Linked DNA regions of Drosophila melanogaster. Changing the gene in region 2 together with the main gene of any one other region gives a genetic interaction. Each region holds a gene or a part of one and is shown on either strand. Other genes may lie near its edges. The genes, in order: snk and pip.

The links.
Region 1: of pip (region 2) and snk, changing one enhances a phenotype caused by changing the other (phenotypic enhancement), as found in Drosophila melanogaster (one study listed by BioGRID).

The regions. Positions count from the first base shown.
Region 1 is NT_033777.3:13,039,601-13,044,545, reverse strand, and holds snk (snake), read left to right. Parts: upstream 1-1,775; 5' UTR 1,776-1,807; intron 1,808-1,902; coding exon of another isoform or gene 1,903-2,454; exon of another isoform or gene 2,455-2,496; intron 2,497-2,803; exon of another isoform or gene 2,804-2,804; 5' UTR 2,805-2,864; coding exon 2,865-2,943; intron 2,944-3,007; coding exon 3,008-3,388; intron 3,389-3,444; coding exon 3,445-3,706; intron 3,707-3,761; coding exon 3,762-4,347; 3' UTR 4,348-4,381; downstream 4,382-4,945. Other genes in the region: CG45122 (uncharacterized protein), read right to left, coding at 17-85, 149-340; CG11670 (uncharacterized protein), read right to left, coding at 540-625, 695-824, 878-1,295, 1,552-1,661, 1,903-2,454; CG11668 (uncharacterized protein), read right to left, coding at 4,476-4,649, 4,713-4,870, 4,936-4,945. UniProt on the Drosophila melanogaster protein: Component of the extracellular signaling pathway that establishes the dorsal-ventral pathway of the embryo. A protease cascade involving ndl, gd, snk and ea results in activation of the spz Toll receptor ligand; acts downstream of ndl and gd.
Region 2 is NT_037436.4:19,334,523-19,339,781, forward strand, and holds the start of pip (pipe), read right to left. Parts: upstream 3,088-5,259; 5' UTR 2,909-3,087; coding exon 2,820-2,908; intron 1-2,819. UniProt on the Drosophila melanogaster protein: Sulfotransferase involved in dorsoventral axis patterning in early embryos.

The DNA.
Region 1 (4,945 bases), on a different chromosome or scaffold from region 2:
TGGTTTATTTAGCCGCTTAGCGCTTTCCCTTCTTTTTCTTCTTTTGGCCATCCGGCCAAGCAAATCCTCTTGACTTCAGAACGTCCTAAAATAATTTACATATTTTTTTTTATTTTTAATAGATTATGTACTTTAAGTAATGACTTACCTGAACATTATGGCAGACATAGTAGGCGTTTTCCATGGCGGCGTCATTGAAAATGTCGCAACCAATGGACTTTCCCACGCCTCCTTTCTTCTTGCCGCCCTCTTTCTTCTTCTTCTCCTCGCCTTCGCCACTTCCTGCATTACTGGATGTAGAATCCTTGCTATTACGCTTCTTTTTGCTCTTCCCTACCATTATTAACTTTTTTGCATATCAAAACGCAATTATTGATTAAATAAACCATTTCAGCACACCGCGGTGCCTAGCAACAAATGCAATCAATCTAACAATACAAAAAAAGACCTAGATAAAGTACTTTTTGCTATGCTTTAATTAAAATTAAAATTTTCTTTTTTTTACAACTTTTTGTTTGTGACATTTTATAGACTGCTTTTTATTGATTAGTAAATTCGCTATAATAATTAGGCCACACTATGGATGCTATCCAATCGATATAGGATGAAACACGCGTATAAACACCTGTAAAATGAATGAATTTGTAAAAGTATTATACATTTTATATATTTTAATATATTTTTATATATTTACCTGGAAGTTCACTGCGACAATATGCTCCATACGATGTGATGCCCACCAGGTAGTAGCGATAGTGTTTACGACTTGTGTGCCTTCGACGCCGACGTTCCAAGTTCAGTTGAAGCGGTCCTCCAGAATCGCCCTTTAAAATAATAATATTATATCTAAAATTTACCCAAAACTTATGTTCCTCACCTGGCAAGTATCGCGATTTTTCTCATAGTCATGGGCGCATATCTGACTTGTGAGTAATCCGTGGGGAGAACCTTCGTCGGCTGGCAGACTGGAGTTACACTGCTCAATGGGCACCACCGAGAGATCCAGTTCCGTGAGTATGTTCGTCTGCGGCTGGGCGAATCCCGTCGAGCCATAGCCCATGGTGTGCAGCTTGCCGTATGGTATGTCGTTCATGGGCCACAGGCGAACTGGCCTCACGAACCAGGTGTATTCCACCGGTCGATTCAGCTGGATGAGCCCGATGTCATGGTAGTTAAGACTCGCATTGTACAGTGGATGCAGATAGATCTGGGCAACACGTCGTCTTTGGGGCGCCACGTTGAGCTCCCATTCCTTGAGCTTAATGTCTCCGATTTTTACGATGTCGGGCGAGGTGCTATAAGGAAAATAATCCAGATATTGTCCAAAAGCTGTTCTTAATAATCTGTTATATTATCATATCTAATATACTTGCTTGTTAAAATGAAAAATTAAAGTTAATACCTATCAAAGGGTTATTTAGATATTTTAAGGGGTATATGTAAGTTAAGGAGACTTCGTATTTACTCTTGAGTATCATAAGATAGTTTATGTAGATAAGAAAGCTATACTCTGCCTAATTCTCTATAAGTTGTTATCCATAAAAAGCTCACCCATGAGTAGTCAGGCAATGAGCAGCTGTGAGCACGAACTCTTCGCTGATGAGGCTTCCACCACATTTGTAGTCGATCTCGTGGTTCTCGTTCCGGAATCCCAGAGCGGCCTAAGATCGGTTAAAGAGCGGATTAGTCGTACCCAATTAACTGTTAACTGATATGATATGGTGGACTTCGATTTGGATTTCGGCAATCGGAGATTTAGTCGTGTTTGTGTTGCGAACGGCGGTACTTTGGCGTTTCCCCCATTCCGGTTTCGTGCGATTTTATTTATTTATTTATTGGCCTTCGTTGATCTACGATTTTTGTTTTTTTTTTGGACTGCACCTTTATTTATTCATTACTTACCATGTGCGGGTACTGTCCAGGTGCCACAATGGATCGGCCATTGAAGTCGTCGTGCAAGTCCTCCGTCTCCGCGGTCTTGTTGTAGTTCTCCCCGTCCACTTTGCTTTCGGTGTTCAGGAAGATGTTGTGGAAGTTGCGATGGTGATTTGGTGGCGGACGACGTGGTTGCCACTGCCTGGGGCCATTGTCCCATTGCCGATGCTGCAGCGGACCTCCTGGACCTCCGGGGCAACCAGGTGGAGGACCAGGTGGAGGCGGGCCCGGTGGCGGAGATCCAGGCGGTGGTCTTCCACATGGCGGAGAAGGTGGTGGCGGCGGCGGTCTATAATAGCCGTAGTTATTAAAGTAGCCCGGCGCCCATTGACCGTTGTAACCGTAGCTATTGTAGTTGTTGAAGTCCCACCTGGTTGGATCCGGCACTGGATTCGGATTCGGATTTCGATACGGTTCCGGATACTGGGCGGGAAACTCCCACTGTCCGTTCACGTGAAATACGCACAGGAGCACACAGAGTGCGATGCAGGTCTCCAAAGGTCTCTTCCAATCCGCCATCTGTAGAGGTCTTGCTCGATTGACCGATTTAATCCGACTGGGATCTTCCAATCCACACTACGCGGAATTGAAACGCAGCGTCGCTGGCAAACGGTTTTATTGAAATTCATCCGAATTTATAATTGAGCGCCCGCATTAATTAATAAAAATACATTAAACAAAAAATCAACCAAGCCAGGCAAGGGTTTGTTTTGGGCACAGTGGTGGCTCAAATATTGAAGCTAATCGAAATTCTTTGGCCATTGTCTTCTGAAAAACTGAATTCCTCTGGGGTATATTGGTTAATTTATAGTTTAATCTGGAAAATATATACAAAGCCCTAAAGTATCTATTTTCATTATTTATGCCAGCTTCTTATATGAAATGTTTGAAAGAAAGTAAATAATGAAATCACAGAACTCACAAATAGAATGATAATACTTTGGTCTCTAATCGTGCATCTTCAATTGACATGCTTGCATTTAATCCTGCAGACTCCAAATCTTGAGGGTAAGTAGTAAATCAATCGTATATATTAATGGTGCCTCTAATATTATATTAATTAAACCCACAGCTCTCGATGCCCTTGAAATAATCAACTACCAGACCACCAAGTACACAATCCCCGAAGTTTGGAAAGAGCAGCCAGTGGCGACCATTGGCGAGGACGTGGATGATCAGGACACCGAAGATGAGGAAAGCTATCTGAAGTTCGGCGACGATGCGGAGGTTAGGACTTCGGTTTCGGAAGGACTTCACGAAGGTGCCTTCTGCCGGCGGAGCTTCGATGGCCGGAGTGGATACTGCATCCTGGCCTATCAGTGCCTCCACGTCATTCGAGAGTATCGGGTGCATGGCACCCGCATCGACATCTGCACCCATCGCAACAATGTCCCTGTCATCTGTTGTCCATTGGCGGACAAGCATGTGCTGGCTCAGCGCATAAGTGCCACCAGTAGGTAGACTTCGAAGGATCGGAATAGTTTACATCCTAAAGATAATCCTTTCCAGAATGTCAGGAGTACAATGCTGCCGCCAGAAGGCTTCACTTGACGGACACCGGACGCACATTCTCCGGGAAGCAGTGTGTGCCCAGTGTTCCCCTGATAGTCGGTGGAACCCCCACTCGACACGGACTCTTCCCTCACATGGCTGCCTTAGGATGGACGCAGGGTAGTGGCTCCAAGGATCAAGATATAAAATGGGGCTGTGGAGGCGCCCTGGTTAGCGAACTGTATGTCCTGACCGCTGCCCACTGTGCCACCTCTGGTAGGTGAGTGACAGAATCCTCGAAGACACAACTATAACTGTATTTCTTGCTCCATCAGCAAACCACCGGACATGGTTCGCTTGGGCGCCCGCCAGTTGAACGAGACCAGCGCGACCCAGCAGGACATCAAGATCCTCATCATCGTGCTGCATCCGAAGTACAGATCCTCGGCATATTACCACGATATTGCCCTGCTCAAGCTGACCAGAAGGGTCAAGTTCTCGGAGCAGGTGCGTCCTGCTTGCCTGTGGCAACTGCCGGAGCTCCAGATACCCACTGTGGTGGCCGCCGGTTGGGGACGCACCGAGTTCCTGGGCGCCAAATCGAATGCCCTGCGCCAGGTGGACCTGGACGTAGTCCCACAAATGACCTGCAAGCAGATCTATCGCAAGGAGCGACGTCTGCCCAGGGGAATCATCGAGGGGCAGTTCTGTGCGGGATATTTGCCAGGCGGCAGGGACACCTGCCAGGGTGACTCCGGCGGTCCCATTCATGCCCTGCTGCCGGAATACAACTGCGTGGCCTTCGTGGTGGGCATCACCTCGTTTGGAAAATTCTGTGCGGCTCCCAATGCCCCAGGAGTTTACACCAGGCTATATAGCTACCTGGATTGGATTGAGAAGATTGCCTTCAAGCAGCACTAGTTTCATTTTATTTTATTTATTAAATATGCTTTTTAAAATTTTTAATTTTTTCAACAATTGTTTTAAATGTAATAATTTATCTTTAAAAAGTTGAAATTGCATAGAACACATTTAATTTCTCAAAAGAATCAAGGCCATACTTGTTGTTCTATCCATTGAATGTAGTGCGCTATTCGCACATAAACTCCAGGTTGACCGGATGCACAGGCTCCTCCAAAGGACGTTATACCCACCACATAGGGTATCGTATGGCGATGATGGCGCATGTGTTGGTGGAGCAACAAGGGTCCTCCAGAATCGCCCTGATGAAATCGAAGATCACCAGTCAAATAAAACATTTAATATTTCAAAAACTTTTGACTCACCTGGCATGTGTCCATATTGCCGGAGTAGTCTCCCGCGCACATTTGACCCGATCCCAGGCCATTGGCCAGTTTGTCATAGTTGTGCAAGTACCTCTGGCATTGTTGGAAATTCAGGTGGTAAAGCATGATTTGCAGGAGATTACTGGAGTGTGGTCCAGCTGTTTTATCAATCAATGATTTAAGTTATAATGAAAATCTAAATCCGGATAAAATGGACACTAACCGAACTTGGT
Region 2 (5,259 bases):
AGTGTGTGAAGAAAAACATTTTAATTGCCGTTTTAAAACATAAAATTTAGCACATATATATGTTTTTGTTAATAATTATTTTTTAATTTGCCACCCGCCGCAGACAGACAGCAATAATTAACTTTCCCGCGGGCCACCGGCAGCGTGTAAAATTCCCAATATGCATCATTTCCATTGCAGAAAGACAGGCAAAATAAAACAAAACGGCATGCAAAACTCGAAAGAAAATGAAGAAAAGAAAAACAAATCACATCACTGAATATAATTACCAAAGAGTAAGTGACTGCATGTCGTGGCGCCCAGAGAAAGAAAGAAACTGGCAAGAAAGAGAAGAATTGCTGAGAAAGGCGCACAGAAGAAAGACTTGAAGACTTGTAGACTCGGCAGCGAAGAGCCAGCTACAGTCTTTTCAAGCGCGGCTTGAGTCTTCGCCCTCTTTCTTTTGGGGCGTTCTAAATAATTTCTGTCACGCTTCGGCTTGCAGTGAAAATAAGAGTGAGTTTTGTTTTTTGTATTAGGTAAACCCTAATCCAAATGGAAAGCAAATCAGAAACGTAATTTATGCTAATTCGAAAGAAATTATTGCATAACTGCACTTCATTCCACTCATTGAGCGTATAATTGTCTTTTTTGACTTTTCAAATCGATTCGAATCGATTCCGACTGATTTTTCTCAACTGGGTGCAACGAACTCATTTTCTACGTATGCTCATTTATCGCGTGTCCGGATAATGAAGCTGCCAAACATCTGTCGCCGAGTTATTTAAGCAAAACCAATTAATTTCATTAATTAATATCAATTTGAGAGCGTACAAAAGAATTGTGCAAATAACGACGTAAGTGTACGCAGCAATATGGCTGGGAATTTATGTATTTATGTTTCTCTGCAGGACAATTCGTATCTGTTGTGATAAATCATATCCATATTCAAATATTTGCACTATTTTGTTGTGCAAATGGCAAGATTACTCGTTTCACTAAGTCGCCTGGCCATCGGAAATGGATAAAAAATAAATGTTTACCTGATTGATTGGCAGACTGACTGAGTGGCCAACTGATTGACTGAGAGTTTGCAGCTGCATGAAATTGTCAAAATGAGCGTAAAATTTATGCTCCAGCCAGCGGTAACCACAGAAAGTATCACACATATCTACATTTAAGCCATGTGTTTAATTAATGCCAGTAATTCATACATTTAATGTAATAATTTGTTCTGCAAATAAACGGGAAATGGGCCTCGCTTCGCGAAAATTAACGAGGGCTTTATAGGAAAAAAGGATATCTAGCAGGGACTCAATAAGTGGGAAAATGTTTAAATAAAATATAAAACATATGTATGTCGTTGATCCAATTTGCCATTAGCTTGAGCTAAGATCTCACAGTTATACGCAAATAGCTGTGAGCCATGACTTCACCACGTTTTGCCTTAATGAAAAGCAAATTCTCACACCCTTTTAAAAAGTCAACAAAAACGGTAAGAAATAGTTTCCCAAAAGCCAATTAGCCCATAACATGTGTAGTCGGTATATCATTAGTTTACATCTCGACGCACTCGTTGCAACAAATTTGGCCATACAAACGGAAAAAAGAGCGAATCTTTCACAATAGCGGACGCAGTGGCTCAGTTCTCTGGCCTAAACACCTTTTAATAGCCAAAATTGTTATGGGCGGCCGCAGAAACCGCCGGCCGTCGACCATCGACCATCGACTAATGAGCGGGCAGTCAAGTTGGGGGGCTCTTAACTTTTATCTGAGCTGACTTGGCCCGAACTGAGCCGAGTTGGGTTCTGTAAAAGGCCAGAACAAACACCGAAAAATGCAGGCCCACACAATGCAGTGGTAGGATGGTGGTAAGACACGGCTCTTTTGGCTACTTGAAATAGTTGAAGTGAGCTCGGCTTTTGTGGTTTTCCTCCTCTTCATCTGCCGCCCCGAGGTGCTACACCAAATGAATTATGAGAAGAATTGAAAATGAAAAACGCAATAAAAAATAGAAACAAGATTGTAGCTTTTAACTGGAGCAGAGATTGAAAAAACGACAGACGCAAGTGCACAGAGAAAAGTTTATGAAACATTTAAAATTAAATGTTGAAGTACAGTGTTTACAAAGCTTTAATACTTGCTTTTAATAAGTCTTCAAAATATAAGAAAACATTTTCAAAGTATAAATAATAAATACAAAAAAAATAAAAGGATAAATAATAGACCCCTTTTTGTATATATAAATTTTTGAAAATATTTTCAATTGATACAGTACTTGGAAGCTCATATCAGCATTCGTAACAATTTTTCATAGCTTAATTAAAAGTACTCAATCAATTTTTTAAAATAAAGTTCTTAAAGCTCGTCGATCTACATAAACCCATCTAAGTCGATGAGATTCATATTAAATTTAAGATCAAAAATATCTATTTCTTCTAGTGTAGCTGCAATTAATTTACTGGCTGGCACTACTTAAAGTCCGTCAAGAATGTTCGAACTGCTCTGGCCAGCAATTGGAGTTTTTATTTAATTTTATTTATCAAATACAACGACCCTGAAACACTATCACTTTTAGCCAGATGCGAAAAACGGAAAGTTAAGCGCTTTTTATGGAGAATCGAGAGCAGAGTATTTTTAATCTTTAGCGCTGCGGCAAACGCAATCTTCGATCTACCAACTCGATTTCGATTCTCTGGCCATTCAATGGCAATTATGACCGGTTTTCAATTTAACTGAAACTGGAACTCAATTGCATTTCCCCTTTGAAACGAACACCGTTCTCGAGTGAAAGAAATCTTTTCTCCGCCGCCTTTTTCTCGGCTGAAGACCACACTTACCGCTTGGGATACGGTATGCGCCGGTATTTGAAGGCATTTTCCACATCGCGCAGTTTCATTTTGTACGATCGCTCGGCGTTCAGAGACATCCAATGTCAATTACACAAAAAACACAATCGCTTGAGATCTTAGTTCTCGAAGACCTTTCTTGGCCGAAAGAATTTTCCGGTCGGCACTTGGGTTCACTTGAGTTCCGATTCACGATTCGAAGACTTAGAGATATAGACGTCCGTAGAGCTCGGCGATCGCGGCTTGACTGAATGTTCCTGGGGGCACTTGGCCGCCTTTTTGGCCAACTTTAAGACGTTGGCAGCGGCGGCTTACCACTGTTTGCTTTTACCATTTTCTTCGACTCTCTTTGGCTCTGTTTATTCGCTCTTTTGATCGCTCTTTGTTCGCTGGCTGACTGATTTCGTGGGGACGTGACTGTAGCCCATTTGTCTGTGGCAACATTTTTATTATTACCCCACATCTGACATTAATCTACTTAGACATATTTATTTAGGTCGTCCAAACAGCGAAGTGTCTTTATTCTCTGCGCAAGGAATCGAATTTCGGGCACTTGTTTCAATATCCTTTATTGGATCAGCTGGTTTACCGACCTTAATGGTAATTTGTTCGGTTGAATAGAACATATTGCGTGTGATCCAAACCACGTTGGCAAAAATAAGAACTTTAGTTTTTTCTATTTCTTCATAGAGGAAGGGAGAATTAGAATTAAAAACAGGTTTACCTTTGAACCCATCCCCCCCAATGGACAGTCGAAAAGTTGACCTTCCCGCTTTTGTAATTTCCATCGATTAGTTTTGGCCATTCGTACATATATAAGCGATTCTTCTCGATGTCTGTCTTCTCGCCTCGTTCGTTAGCCAAACTTCGGGATCTAAGCTTAATTTTTGCCAAACTCAAATCTATAGTTTCTACAAGAGTTGGATTCCGCGATCTCCCCACTTGCTGTCCACAAAGCTAAGCTCATTGACCCTTATTCAACAGTTGACTCTTATGGCACAGTGCCTCAAAGAAATCTTTTTTCCGATTAAATTAGAACATTTAAAAATTAAATTGAGGTACGAATTTTTAATTTACGAGAATTAATACTAGATTTCAATATATTTATACCTTTACTCTTTTATTTAAGTGTGTCTTATCATATATTACTTTAAATTATCTTTTTCAGGTACCTTAACTTTTAACTCTCACTGTAACTGACTTGTCCACTAACTGGCGTCAGACGGCTGTCGAATTTAAGCGTTTACCCATAACTATCTGCATAGGTCCACATTTTTAGGACCGACAAAAAACTGATTGTTTAGTCTTATTAAACTTTTTTTATTTCAGCAACAAGTTGAAAATTCGTGTAAATTTCTCGATAACAATTGCAAAAAAATGGAAAAACGCCAGCCTCAACATAAAAACAGCCAAAACATAAAAGTAAAATTAAAACGAAATGCGTTGGCGGCACATGTCTTGTGTTTATCTGGTAATAATTAAAGGTATTTCAGCATTTGGTACCAAGAAAGTGAGTAGCTAAAAACTTGTAAAGTTGCTGCCTATTGCATTGATGACTGTCCAAATCGACTGAGATAATTGAGCTATCTGAATGATCAGACTCTTTCTCCGATTTCGAAACTTAAAAGCCGACGAGTTGTTAGGCTGTCGGTTTTCGGGTTAAGTTTATCAGCTGTCCAATTGTGGTCGCTCACAATATGTTGGCTATATCTTCGGTCCGATGCCATGGTTTTTTGCTGCCAACTGTCCCTTTGTGGCTGTGCCGATTGCGCTGAGCTGGCCAACTCGATTGTAAACAACTGCAATTGGCCCTAGGTGCAAACACAAATAGCTGATTGTGTGAGTTTGTGGCAGGTGTGCGTATATATTATATTTGGCCAATACTCGGCAGTGTATTTTATGCAGCGAGGTTTTCCATGTTAATTGGTTGGCATGTTTAATACATCCGCTTAAATATATAAAAGAAATTTAAAATCGTATTCGGTAAATAAATTTATTATTTACACAAATTCTAAATTAATATATTATATGTATATGTTATATGTAAGTGCGTACGATAAATAAATAATTTCATCAATTTGCATTAATCTAGAGTGAATACTTTTAGTAGATATATGTATTATATGTATATTAATGACCACGGCATAAAAAGAACTGCAAAATTATTAACTTTAATAGCCAGATATTTAAATGTGTTAATAATAAATAAAAGCAACAAACATACTAGTGATTAGTTTGATAAGCTGTAATACAATAATAACAAAATACATTCAAGGTAGATCCCTCCATTAAATTTGATTATGCTTTGTTATTCAATTTTTTGAGTATCTACCTTGATATTCAAACTTACTGCAAAAACTGCTTTACCACGCCTCGTTAGCGATTTCCGGTCCTTTTGTCGCCCACGCCCATCAAAGCCATTTTGGCCAAG